Linked DNA regions of Tamandua tetradactyla. The protein of the gene in region 3 interacts with the protein of the main gene of each other region in a pairwise test. Links are inferred from orthologs where the notes say so. Each region holds a gene or a part of one and is shown on either strand. Other genes may lie near its edges.

Region 1 (3,748 bases), on a different chromosome or scaffold from region 3:
TATTAAGTGTTGAGAATAAGCAAATCTATGAGACAGAAAATATATTACTGGTTGCCTATGGCTTGGGGGGGGCTAATTAGAGTTAGAGAACAGGAAGTGATTGCTAGTAGGTATGGGTTTCCTTTTAGGGAAAGGAAAATGTTCTAAATTTACAATTGCAGTGATGATTGTACAACCCTGCGGATATATTAAAAACCTTCAAAGTGTACACTGTAAATGGGTGAATTATATGGCATGTGAATTATAGCTCAATAAAGCTGTTAGAATAGTTTTGAAAAAGTAGGATTTAAAACATTACCATGATTTCATATATGTTAAATCAAATTTCTACAATTTTTTTTGTTTGTATGCTGTATGGCAGGGTCACATTTCATTCTTTTTCCATGTGAGTAGCCCGTTATTTCAGCATCATTTGTTGAACTTTGTTTATTTTAGTTGGTTTGTTTTCTTTGTTTGGGAAGTGCATGGGCCAGGAATCGAACCCCAGTCTCCCCATGGTAAGCCAGAATTCTTCCACTGACGTACCCTCGCATCCCCAATTTCTACAAATTTTTAAAGTCAGAAAGAAGAGATAACGACAGAAAAATATGGACTTTACACAGTTCTCATCCTTAAGATATTAATCTATTACTTTTATATTCAGGCAATTAAGCTTTTCATACAGAGATTAAATGAAGTATAAAAGGTCAAGAAGCTGGTGGTGGAGAGTCACACTTGAACCTAGCCACTCTGCCCTTCTTACCCAATTGGGTTCTTACTCAATTCTCTATATTCAGGGCTTGCCCGGGATTCTCAGTGAGGCCCTGTCCACTGTTCTCCTTCAGCTGCTAGGATCCTCATCTTCCGCCCCCTCCCCAAGTTTGAATAAAGCAGTCTCCAGCACCCTAGGCCTGTCATAGTTCCCCCCAAAATGTTCACTGTTTCTCAGACCTTACTGTCTTTGTCATGCTGGGACCTGTACGCGGATGGCAAAGCGGACTCGGGGCAGGCAACTAACCATGATGTTGATGGTTGCAGAGTCCAGCAGGATAGCAACTAAGGATAGAACATAATAAGAACGCAGTTGAGTACAATTGGATAAACCACGGAAACCCCACCCCACAAATTAACATGCCATTTTCAACCCTCTGAACTCACATCCGGGTCTGCCCACCTAAAGAACTATCTAGGCCCCACCCCTCAAGTAATCATCCTAGGTCTGCACCACAAAAAAACCATAAAGTTTTTAAAACAATTATTTTTAGAGCACTTAATTTATTTTAGAGCACTTTTAAAAATACATATTTTTAAGGGCGGGCAACGGTGGCTCAGTGGCAGAGAGTTCTCCCTTACCATGCTAGAGACCCGGGTTTGATTCCTGGTGCCTGCCCATGTAAAAAACAACAACAAAAAAATATGTATGTATTTATAGAACACCAGTTGCAGGTTTACAGAAAAATCATGCAGAAAGTAGAGTTCCCATACACATCCCTTCACACCCAGTTTTTCCCATTGTTAACATTGCATATTGTAACATTTGTTACAATTGATGAACCAATAACATTATAATTATATTATTAAATAAACTCCATAGTTTATATTAGGGTTCAAAATTTGTGTTGTACAGTTCTACGGGTTGTATTTTTAATGGTGGCAATACATATACAAGCTAAAACTCCCCATGTCAACCACTCGCAAGTATACAAACCAGTGTTATTCATTACATTCACAGTACTGGGATGCCATCACCATTACCAAATTTTCCCACCACTCCAAACAAACACTGTACAGTGTAAGCCTTTAACTCCCCACTCCCCACCCTGCCACTGGCAGCCTACATTCTAATTATGTCATATAATAAGATCATACAATATTTGTTCTTTAGCGTCTGGCTTATTTCACTCAACTGACGTCTTCAAGGCTCATCCACGTTGTAGTATGTATGAGAACTTCATTCCTTTCTAGGGCTGAAAAGTATTCCACTGTGTGTATATCGACCCCACCTCTTAATTCATAATCCCAGACAGGGCTATGTGAATAATACTACAGCCCGTGTCTAAAACGCCCCAAATCCCATCCCCTCAAATAATACCCTTAGATACACCTGGGAGAGTGAAAATCCAGGATTGGGCTCCCAAACATTCCAGGCCCGCCCTCTGAACCTCAAAAATGCCTGACATTTCAAGCACCGTCTGCTCCTTAACTGGCATTCCACGCCCCTCTTCTACTTTATCTCCTCACCGCAATAACCCTCCAGCACCCGCCCCCTCAGAAAACAACAATCGAAGACCCGCTGGCGGAAATAATTATCCAGGCCCGCCCCGCCCACCCCCCTTACAGTTCTGGCATTGCCTACTGGAATTACCCATGCACGGCGCACTTCCTACACTAACAATCTAGGATAACACCGGGTCCCGCCCCTGGGACGCGATGCCAGCCCCGCCCCCTCAACTCACGCCTCTGGGCCCCAACCAGGGGAAGTACCCAACGATCTGGGTCCTGCCGCCTCCAAAGCACCCAGCAGCTCCCCTTCTTCCCCGCCTCCCCAGAGGACCGCGGCAGGGTCACTCACCCTCCTTGGGGCGCAGGCGCAATGTTGCTCCTGCCCTGCGCGCCAGGGCCGCCACGTCCGCCGCAGCTCGGGCCGCTAGGGGGCGCGCGTCGAGCCGCGCCAGGAGCTGCCGGGCGCTGGCGCCCGCGGGCGGGGCAGGGCCGCGGCCTGAGCGGGAGGGGGACAGGTCAGCGCCCACCCTCAGCCTCGGAACACCCCCATGCTTCCAGACGTCCGAAGCCTAGATGCCCCTCGAGGTCCCCGGACACCCCTGACCACTCACTCCCTCGATAGTTCCGGAGGACATCGACTGCCCCTCAACCTCTCCCGCGCCCCCCGACCGTCTCGGGTATGCCCGTGGAACTCCACTCGCCCCTGGAGACAGCCGTTTCGCTGTACTATTCCTGGACACCTTCAACCACTCGCTGCATGCTTCTGGAGGTCCACGACTGCTCCCCAATTCCCTGGGGCTCCAAATGCGCCCCCCTCAATATCTCCGGAGACCCTGATGTCCCCAAGATGTCCCGAGACGCGATGTCGACACCAGGAAACCCGGGATCCCCGAATCTGCTTCCAAATATCCTGGGGTCCTCAGCCACCCTGCACAAATCCCTTGGGAGGCCCCGATTCCCTAGATATTCCCCGGAACTGCAGACTCTCTCTCTGCAGAGGCCCCGAGCTCCTCCTCAAGCCCCCATTCACCCCAAATCCTGACTGCCGGGGTGTGCTCAGGGACACCGGGAAGCCCGACCGCGCCCGTCTCCCCGGAGACTCCGGAGTGAGCCGGGATCTGGGGCGCGGACCCCTAGAGTAGGTGTGGGTAGGGGGTCTCGGGCCCAGCCCTGGTAGCTGGGCCGCTGCTCGCCGCCACTTGGGCGCCAGAACTGCTGCGTTTACAACCTGCAGGAAGAAAGGCCGGGCGAGGGCGCGGGCAGAGAGCGCGCTCCCCTCTTCCTCCCCCTGGTACCTCCTCGGCCTCCCCTAGGGTCCGTGGCGCCTTCCCGGCGCGGCTCCAAGGCCCGGAGGCGGCCGGGTGGACGTAGGGCCACCAGCGACGCGGTTCGAGCTCCGGGGCACGCTCACTTGGCGACCGGCCTGGGCCTGGACGCAGCTGAGATCGGCCGCTCCCGGCCAGGCGCCCAGCCCCGTGCGGTGACCTACCTGGCGGCCGGCGAGGAGGCCTGGCTGTGTGAGCCCGCACGTGCACTCCGCCTCGCT
Region 2 (3,748 bases), on a different chromosome or scaffold from region 3:
GATCTCTCTTTTACAGATGAGGTAACTGAGGCACAAAGCTGTGAAGGCACGTGTCCAATGTGCAGGTGCGGGAGGGAAATTTTAGGCCTACCAGACTAAGGCCTGGTCACTGAACCATGCCCTGGGCTCCCTCCATCAAAGCTGAGAAAAGCTGAACGCCTGGGTGCTGGGTGTCTGGGGTACAGGAGCTAAGGGAGGGGAGAGGTTCAGCCACAGTCCTGGGGAGCTCGAGGAAAGCAGCTTTCCATTTGTATTTCTGGTCAAGCAGTTAATCCCTATGACCTTGGGCAGGTGTCTTCATCTCTATTTTGTCACCTGGTCAGAGATCAGGACTGGTGAGATTTTATGACTGTGCAGATGGGGAACTCTGGGCCTGGCCTTAGCGACCTAGAGCTGCTGCGGCAACAGGTGGCCCCGAGCCCGGAACGAGACGGCAGGAGCTGGGGGGGCCGGGCCCTGGAGGCCGCACTGTGAAAGGCCAGGGGTGAGCGGCCTCCCCTGGTGGGGGCGGGGGGGCCGGGGACCGGGTCTCACCTGGAGGGCGGGGATCAGCGCCCCTGGTGGGTGGGGCCCCCCCCAAGCGTGTGATAGGGGTAGGGAAGGTGCATCGGGCGGGACCGAGGGGGCACTAACTCACCTGGCGGGCGGCGGCGGCGCCTCGGCCCGGAGGTCCTGGGGGTCCCTTCCTCTTGTGCATCGTCTAGGCTGGATCCCCAGACCACCGGCGCCGGCTCCCGGCCTTGCCCTGCCTCCTCACCGCCCCCCCCACGCGCCGGGGCCTGTTCCCGCGCACGCGCTCTTCACGGGAGACGCGGGTCCCCTCTCTCAGCGCCCCGCGCCCTCGCTCTCGCCCCCCGGGGTGACCGCCCCACTTCCGCCTCGGCCCTTGGGAAGCCGTCACCGCAAGGGAGCGCGGCCACTAAACTCGCCAGGTCCGCCGCCCGAACTACAACTCCCGACAGACAGCGCGCAGGAGCGCATGCGCAGAGCGGGAAGGCGGGTGAAATCGTGGGTGGCGCGGGGAAAGAGGCGGAACGTGAGGGTGGGGGCTGTGTCGCGCATGCGCATTGCCTGCCTTGGCGCTGCGCGGGAAAGAGGCGGAGCGTGTGCAGGTGTGAGAGGCGGTGGCGGCTGCGCGGTTGTCGGCTTCCCTTCGCCACCTGCGGGCGCCGGTCCCACCTGGGTGGCCGGGCCTGAGGAGTCCTCATGTTTCAGGGTCCGGTGTAGGGTTAATGCGGGTCTAGTGGCCGAAAAACGGGGTTCCACAGCGCCAGGCCTCAGGCCTCCCGTCCCGTCAGTCCTCGACCTCCATTCCTTCAACTCCTTACAAGCATTAGTTTTGTCTTTTTTTCTCAAAATAATTTAATGCACATAATTTGACTGATTTTACCCTAACAGATCCAGGAAGCGCTAGTTGCTGCCAAGTTCAGAGGGACCTCCACAATTTCTCTGGCCTAGGTGGGTTTTGGCTAACCGGGACTCGAGGCTGAAAGAAATGGGTCCGTGGGTCACTGCTGCTCCTCCAAGGGCCCAAGCCTTCCCTAAAGACATCTAAGAGCCCCCTTAAAAGTCCCAGGTGTTCAAGTAAAGGGACCCCCGGTGGCTCCTGGAATGGCTCTAGGTACCCCAGCAGGAACTCAGGGCTCGGCACAGGCTGTTGCAGCCCGGGGAACTAGAGGAGGGTTTCCCACAGAGGACCACCTATGCCCACATGCTGCCCAGACTCACCTGGGTCAGTGGACATAAGGTGGGCAGTCCCACTGCAACGTGGAGGTTTTTACCTGGCGTTTGGCTAAGGTGGCAGATCTTGTGCCATGGACAAAGACTGTGACCCCCACCTTGTATCCTATTGGGTCCCATGAACCCCTTGGGGCAGCTGGACAGCCCAGTGGGGTGGGGCTGGTATCTGCTCTTGGAACCACTGACTCAGATTGTTATAATGGAAGGTCTTTGCTTGTTGTCTTCAGGTTTCTCAAGGGAAAGCTGAGATGAGTAAAAGGAAGAAGCTTCGAACCTCAGGTATTTGTCCAGGTTGACACTGCTTTTTTGCTGCTTCTGCATATAGGGGGGATATGCAGAAATGCAAATGGGACCACTCCAGGTTCCTTAAAAGAAAAATGACTTAATACATGCTAATAGGAAAAAGATACAGATTTTGAAGGAGTATGTAAAATGAAATGTGACAGCTTTTTGGAGTCTGTAGGCTTTGGGGGAGGGGTACAGCAGTCTTGGAACCTAGTGCCAGAGATGTCCCCCAAATTAGAGCTTGATGGGCTAAAATGCAAGCCAGTCCATTTTGTGGCCAGTTGCTTCACTCGGGAACCACACACACTGGTTTCATAAACCTGGCTCACTCACTTTGTGATGGAGAATGAGTTCCTCTGTGCCTTGGGGAAAAATACTGTGGCAAAATAGGCATAACATTTCCTTTCCTATAAATCAGGTATAGTAAGCGCACCTACCCTTTCTGTTTATAGCAGAAGAAAATCTCATCTCCAAGGATTTAGCCAAAGGTGAGTATAGTGAGACTTTACTAGTTGCTTCCGCAGCATTTATGCTTCTGCCAAACCAGTTGTCCCCACATCTACCACAAGCCAGAGCAGAAACTGTTTGCTTTAAGAAACCGCATATCCCCTGTCCCTTGGCCATAGCAATCAGTGGCAGCAGTGATTCTCGGCCAGGGCAGTTTTGTCCCCCCAGAGGACAGTCAGCAATGTCTGGAGATATTTTTGGTCATCGCTGCTGGTGGGGGGAAGGTGCTGCTGGCGTCAAGGCCAGGGATGCTGCCAACAGCCTATAACTATAGCACAGGATGGCCCCTACCCCAAAGAATGATCCGGCTGCAGATGCCAAGAGTGCTGAGGCTCAGAAACCCTGCCATAGAGCTGTTGTGCAGATTAAATGAGTGCGTATTTTAAAGCACTGAGAACAGACCACAGGTAGTACCTAAATATGTGCTATTAATATGTCTTGCCTGACTTTTTTCTTACTGTCACAAAATAGATATAATGTAAAATTTGCCATTTTAGAAGCCATTTTTTTCTTCAGTTTTTTTCTTTTTAAATTTTTAAAAAATATGTAACAAATACAAACATTCTTTTTTTTACAAACATTCTTAATATATGATCATTCTGTTCTACATATGTAGTTAATAATTCACAATATTATCACATAGTTGCATATTCATCATCATGATCATTTCTTAGAACATTTGCATCAATTCAGAAAAAGAAATAAAAAGACAACAGAAAAAAATTCATCCATACTATACCCCTTACCCCTCCCTTTCACTGATCACTAGCATTTCAATCTAAATTTATTTTAACATTTGTTCCTCCTATTATTTATTTTTATTCCATTTGTTTTACTTGTCTGTTGATAAAGTAGATAAAAGGAGCATCAGACACAAGGTTTTCACAATCACAACAGTCACATTGTGAAAGCTATATCATTATACAATCATTTTAAGACACATGGCTACTGGAACACACCTCTGCATTTTCAGGCAGTTCCCTCCAGCCTCTCCATTACATCTTGACTAACAAGGTGATATCTGTTTAATGTGTAAGAATAACCTCCAGGATAACCTGTGGAATCTCTCAGCCATTGACACTTTATTTTGTCTCGTTTCACTCTTCCCCCTTTTGGTCGAGAAGGTTTTCTCAATCCCTTGATGCTGAGCCCCAGCTTATGCTAGGATTTCTGCCCCACGTTGGCAGAAAGGTCCACACCCCTGGGAGTCATGTCC
Region 3 (3,748 bases):
GAACTGGTGAGCTTCTGGAATGTTTGTTGACTGCAGCATAACAGGGGAATGCCTGTTATGATCCCTCAAAATGGATGCCATAAGGAAGATAAGTACAAGTCAAATGAATTAAAATGCCCATTGAGCACTTGTGTAGCTCAATCCAAAAATGTATCCACATATTAGAGCATCTTAAAAATAAAAAGTGCATTTGTGATAGTAAAAAACATGAATTAAGGCCGGAAACACTTCAAATAAAAGGTCTTCAGAAACCAATAGGAATTCCAGGAAAACCTTAAATTCCTGCTGTTTTTTCTCTTAAATAATGACCTAATTAAATCGTTAAACTTACTCAAAAATTGTTTTTAGGTGTACAAAAATAGAAAATTGACATGAGATCTTGGACCTATTTCCCCTATACATAATGCTTTGAAATAAAGTAAGTTTTAACAAACCTCAGCTATATGGTGTAATACTGTGTATTTCTAAATCCTTGGCACTGTTGTCATAATACTACACTAATTTTACAGAAGAAGCTGCAGCCCGGTAACTCTGTCAGTGCCACACGAAGAGACCTGAGACTATGAAAAGCACTTTGGATGCACGCTGTAAATCACCCTCGTTCAAGGGGGAAATCACCAAACAGAGTCCATACAGCAGGTTCTGCGGTTAAATTCTGCTTGATGATCGCACGGGCATGATCAGAGAGGGTAATGTACGAGGTGTCATTCCATTCTAGAGGGCGGCTCTCAAGCCTAAAAAGCGAAGAAGCGAAATCGCTTCCTCCCGCTCGGTCCCTTGGCGCAGAGCAGGAGGCACAGCCCTGACGCCGTTTTAAGAAAGGCGAGGACTACACCTCAGACGCCAAGTCTACATGTCAAAGGCTTCAAGAATCAGTGAGAAAAAGGAAACAAACAAACAAAAATAGAATAAGGGGCGTCAAGTTAGCAATACTTTACCCTTCAACGCCAGCAGGTGCTCCTGTTTGGGGGGATTCACCTCCATCTTGACCGGTACCACCGCCTACGGGGGCCGCAGAGGTTCAGCCCGGCCCAGAAGAAAACACGGAAGCGCGCGCTCGGGAAGCCCGCGCGTCAAACACTTCTAACAGCTTCTCAGCCAGCGGTGCCTTAAATTCTCCCTCTACCCCGTTCTTTAGGGCTCCAACAGCTTCTTTTCACCAAAGGTAATCCCTGTCTCTTAGATATCTATACATGAAATACTTCTCCATATTCAGGCTACAACCGCATATCAAACCACTTCCAGGTAACCATACACCGCCGCCCAGATGCCCTCCCCAGCGAGTAAGCAGCGAGGCGCGGCATGCTGGGATTTGTAGTTCTTATAATGCCGCATTGCATTTAGGGGAATGTAGTTCCTGCGCCCGGTCTGGCAGTGGGGACGAGACTTCTTTACAAAAGCGCAAGTTTCACTCACAGATTTTACTTCTGTCTTATCCCATCCTTTTTTCTTGACTTTCTTTCCCCTAGCAGGTGCACATTCCTTAATACCAGTCAAACAATAAAAACAGAGCGAACAAAACGCGGCGCGCGGAGAACCGGTCCGCGGCCGCCGGCCGGGCGCGCGCAGCGTCGTCCCGCGCCCCACGCCGGCCGCGGTCGCCGAGGCGTCTGGGTAGGTGGCTCGCCTTCGCCGCCGCGTTGAAGCCCGTGAAGGCTGCTTCTGCCGCTCCGCTGCGCCCAGGATGGCTGCCCTGGTTGTAAACAAGCCCGGCGCAGGTCTAGACAGCGGCCGGCAGGGCAGCCGAGGGACGGCCGTGGTGAAGGTGAGGGACCTGGCGTGCTCTGTCCACCGTCGGCCTCCGTTTCTCGGGGCTCGTCCCGAAAGCCTGGCCCAGGCGTGGAAGGGAAGGGTGCGGGGCCTCTGCGCCCCCCGGGCGTGCCGAGCCGTGCGCTGCTCTTCGCGACCCGAGGTCCGCTGGCCCGAGATTGTCTGGTCTCCTGCTCGGACCGGCCCTGTGCTGGACGTCGCCAGCGGGGACGTTTCTGAAAAGGAGATTGTGGGAGTGACCCGAGCTGCCTGTGCCCGGGTTTTGGCTTACCGTAACAGGCATTAGTTCGCTTATTGTTTATTAAATTGGGATATTGTGAGGTAGTGTTAGGTGCTTTCGGTCGTTAATATCTGTGAGGCCGATGTTGATCCCCGTTTTACAGATGAGGATTTGATTTGGGGTAGGTGGCAGTGTGCGGTAGAGCCAGGGTTGGCGGCTTCTGAAGTGTGCACGTCTCCCCGCTGCACTGGTTCTGTACTGCGGTGTCTATTCTTGGTTGAACTGCCTCCTCCGCACTTGGTAGTGCCGTCCGTCCGCGCTTAAGGAGTCTCCAGTTGCAGCGTTGCACGGCCTTAACGCTAGTGTTTGTGAATTACGGTGTGTATGTAAGTAGTCCAAAATGCCTTTGTTAAAAATCCGCCTGAAATACGTGGGACTCATTTTTCCTCTTGGCATGTATCTATCTATCTATATATGGAATTGAAGACTTGATTTCAGTGGCTGTTAGAGAGACCTTCAGGATCACCTGAAATCTAAGGAATTGGTATTTCTCATCCCTGGCTGCGTATTAGAATCACGGAAGAGTTTTTAACAGCTGCAGATGCAATCCTCCTTCCCCAATGCTGATTCATTTGTTATTAGCATCTTTTTAAAACCCGCTGAGGAGATTGTAATTGCAACCAGGGTTGAGAACCACTGGGCCAGATAATATCTGAAGTTATTTTAAGGTCTTGAATGATACCTGTGATTTTTCACCTAATGTTTTTTTTATGACAGTAAATGATGCATTTCTGGCCACAGTTTAGCATTAATCAGTTTTAGTAGTTGATGATTTATGTAACTGTTATATACTAATGAAGTTATTCTGAAGGTACACAGCATAACCGAGATGTAGATATTATTACTAGGCATATTGTATGGTTGAGATTTTATTTATTGTGCTTTTTCTGAGGGCATACCTGCAGATTATTTTGAGAATCAACTTTAAGAAATTTTATACTATAACTGAAATGGGTATCATTGCTCTATTTTTGTTATCCTGTTATAATATCAAAAGTATACTATAGTCTGATATAACTCCAGTTTGTTATAGCACAAATTGAATTTCTTAGAGTCTTATTTTATTCATTTTGTTCTTTAAATGTAAAATATATTGGTCCCATGCACGAAGTAGACCTTTTTGGCAAGATGGTCATGCCACAATTCCTAAACAAATATGGTGCTATGAATTTAAAAATCTTTTTATCATTTTCATAGATGAATGTAAGAAGTATTCATTAATACTTAATACATTAATACATTAAAGGTCAAGCGTAAAATACTAATAATATATAACATGGCTTTTTTTAGTCTTTTTTTTATTGTGATAGTATATATAACACAGAAGTTCCCATTTTAGCCATTTTTAAGTTATACTGTACTAGTATTAATTAAATTCATGTGCTACCATCGCATTCATTCATTACCCAAACTTTTCTCCCACTCCAAACAGAAACGTTTTACACATTCTTTCTTTCCTTAGCCCCAGCAACCTTTGATCTACTTTCTGTCTCTATGAATTTGCTTATTCAAGATATTGCATGTAAATGGAATTCTATCTTTGCTCCTTGTGTCTGCTTGTTTCACTCAACATAATACTTTCAAGGTTTATCCAGGTTGTAGCAAATACATGTAGAATTTCATTCCGTTATATGGTTGAACAATAGTTTGTTGTACTTATATGTCATGTTTACCCACTCATCTGTCGATGGACCCTGG

What was found.
Region 1: the proteins of TRIM23 (region 3) and GPKOW interact in binary tests that used the Homo sapiens proteins (3 or more experiments, as listed by UniProt). The two-hybrid records come from large-scale screens. The link is inferred for Tamandua tetradactyla from reciprocal best matches to the Homo sapiens genes TRIM23 and GPKOW.
Region 2: the proteins of TRIM23 (region 3) and BRME1 interact in binary tests that used the Homo sapiens proteins (3 or more experiments, as listed by UniProt). The two-hybrid records come from large-scale screens. The link is inferred for Tamandua tetradactyla from reciprocal best matches to the Homo sapiens genes TRIM23 and BRME1.

Annotation. Positions count from the first base shown.
Region 1 is NC_135353.1:121,049,907-121,053,654, reverse strand, and holds the start of GPKOW (G-patch domain and KOW motifs-containing protein), read right to left. Parts: upstream 2,527-3,748; 5' UTR 2,464-2,526; intron 1,036-2,463; 5' UTR 998-1,035; exon of another isoform or gene 931-997; intron 1-930. UniProt on the Homo sapiens protein: RNA-binding protein involved in pre-mRNA splicing. As a component of the minor spliceosome, involved in the splicing of U12-type introns in pre-mRNAs.
Region 2 is NC_135337.1:88,891,724-88,895,471, forward strand, and holds the start of BRME1 (break repair meiotic recombinase recruitment factor 1), read left to right. Parts: upstream 1-1,073; 5' UTR 1,074-1,112; intron 1,113-1,118; exon of another isoform or gene 1,119-1,293; intron 1,294-1,398; 5' UTR 1,399-1,458; intron 1,459-1,967; 5' UTR 1,968-1,988; coding exon 1,989-2,019; intron 2,020-2,477; coding exon 2,478-2,513; intron 2,514-3,748. Other genes in the region: CC2D1A (coiled-coil and C2 domain-containing protein 1A), read right to left, coding at 638-697. UniProt on the Homo sapiens protein: Meiotic recombination factor component of recombination bridges involved in meiotic double-strand break repair.
Region 3 is NC_135335.1:113,431,052-113,434,799, reverse strand, and holds the start of TRIM23 (E3 ubiquitin-protein ligase TRIM23), read left to right. Parts: upstream 1-1,608; 5' UTR 1,609-1,684; coding exon 1,685-1,765; intron 1,766-3,748. Other genes in the region: TRAPPC13 (trafficking protein particle complex subunit 13), read right to left, coding at 939-984.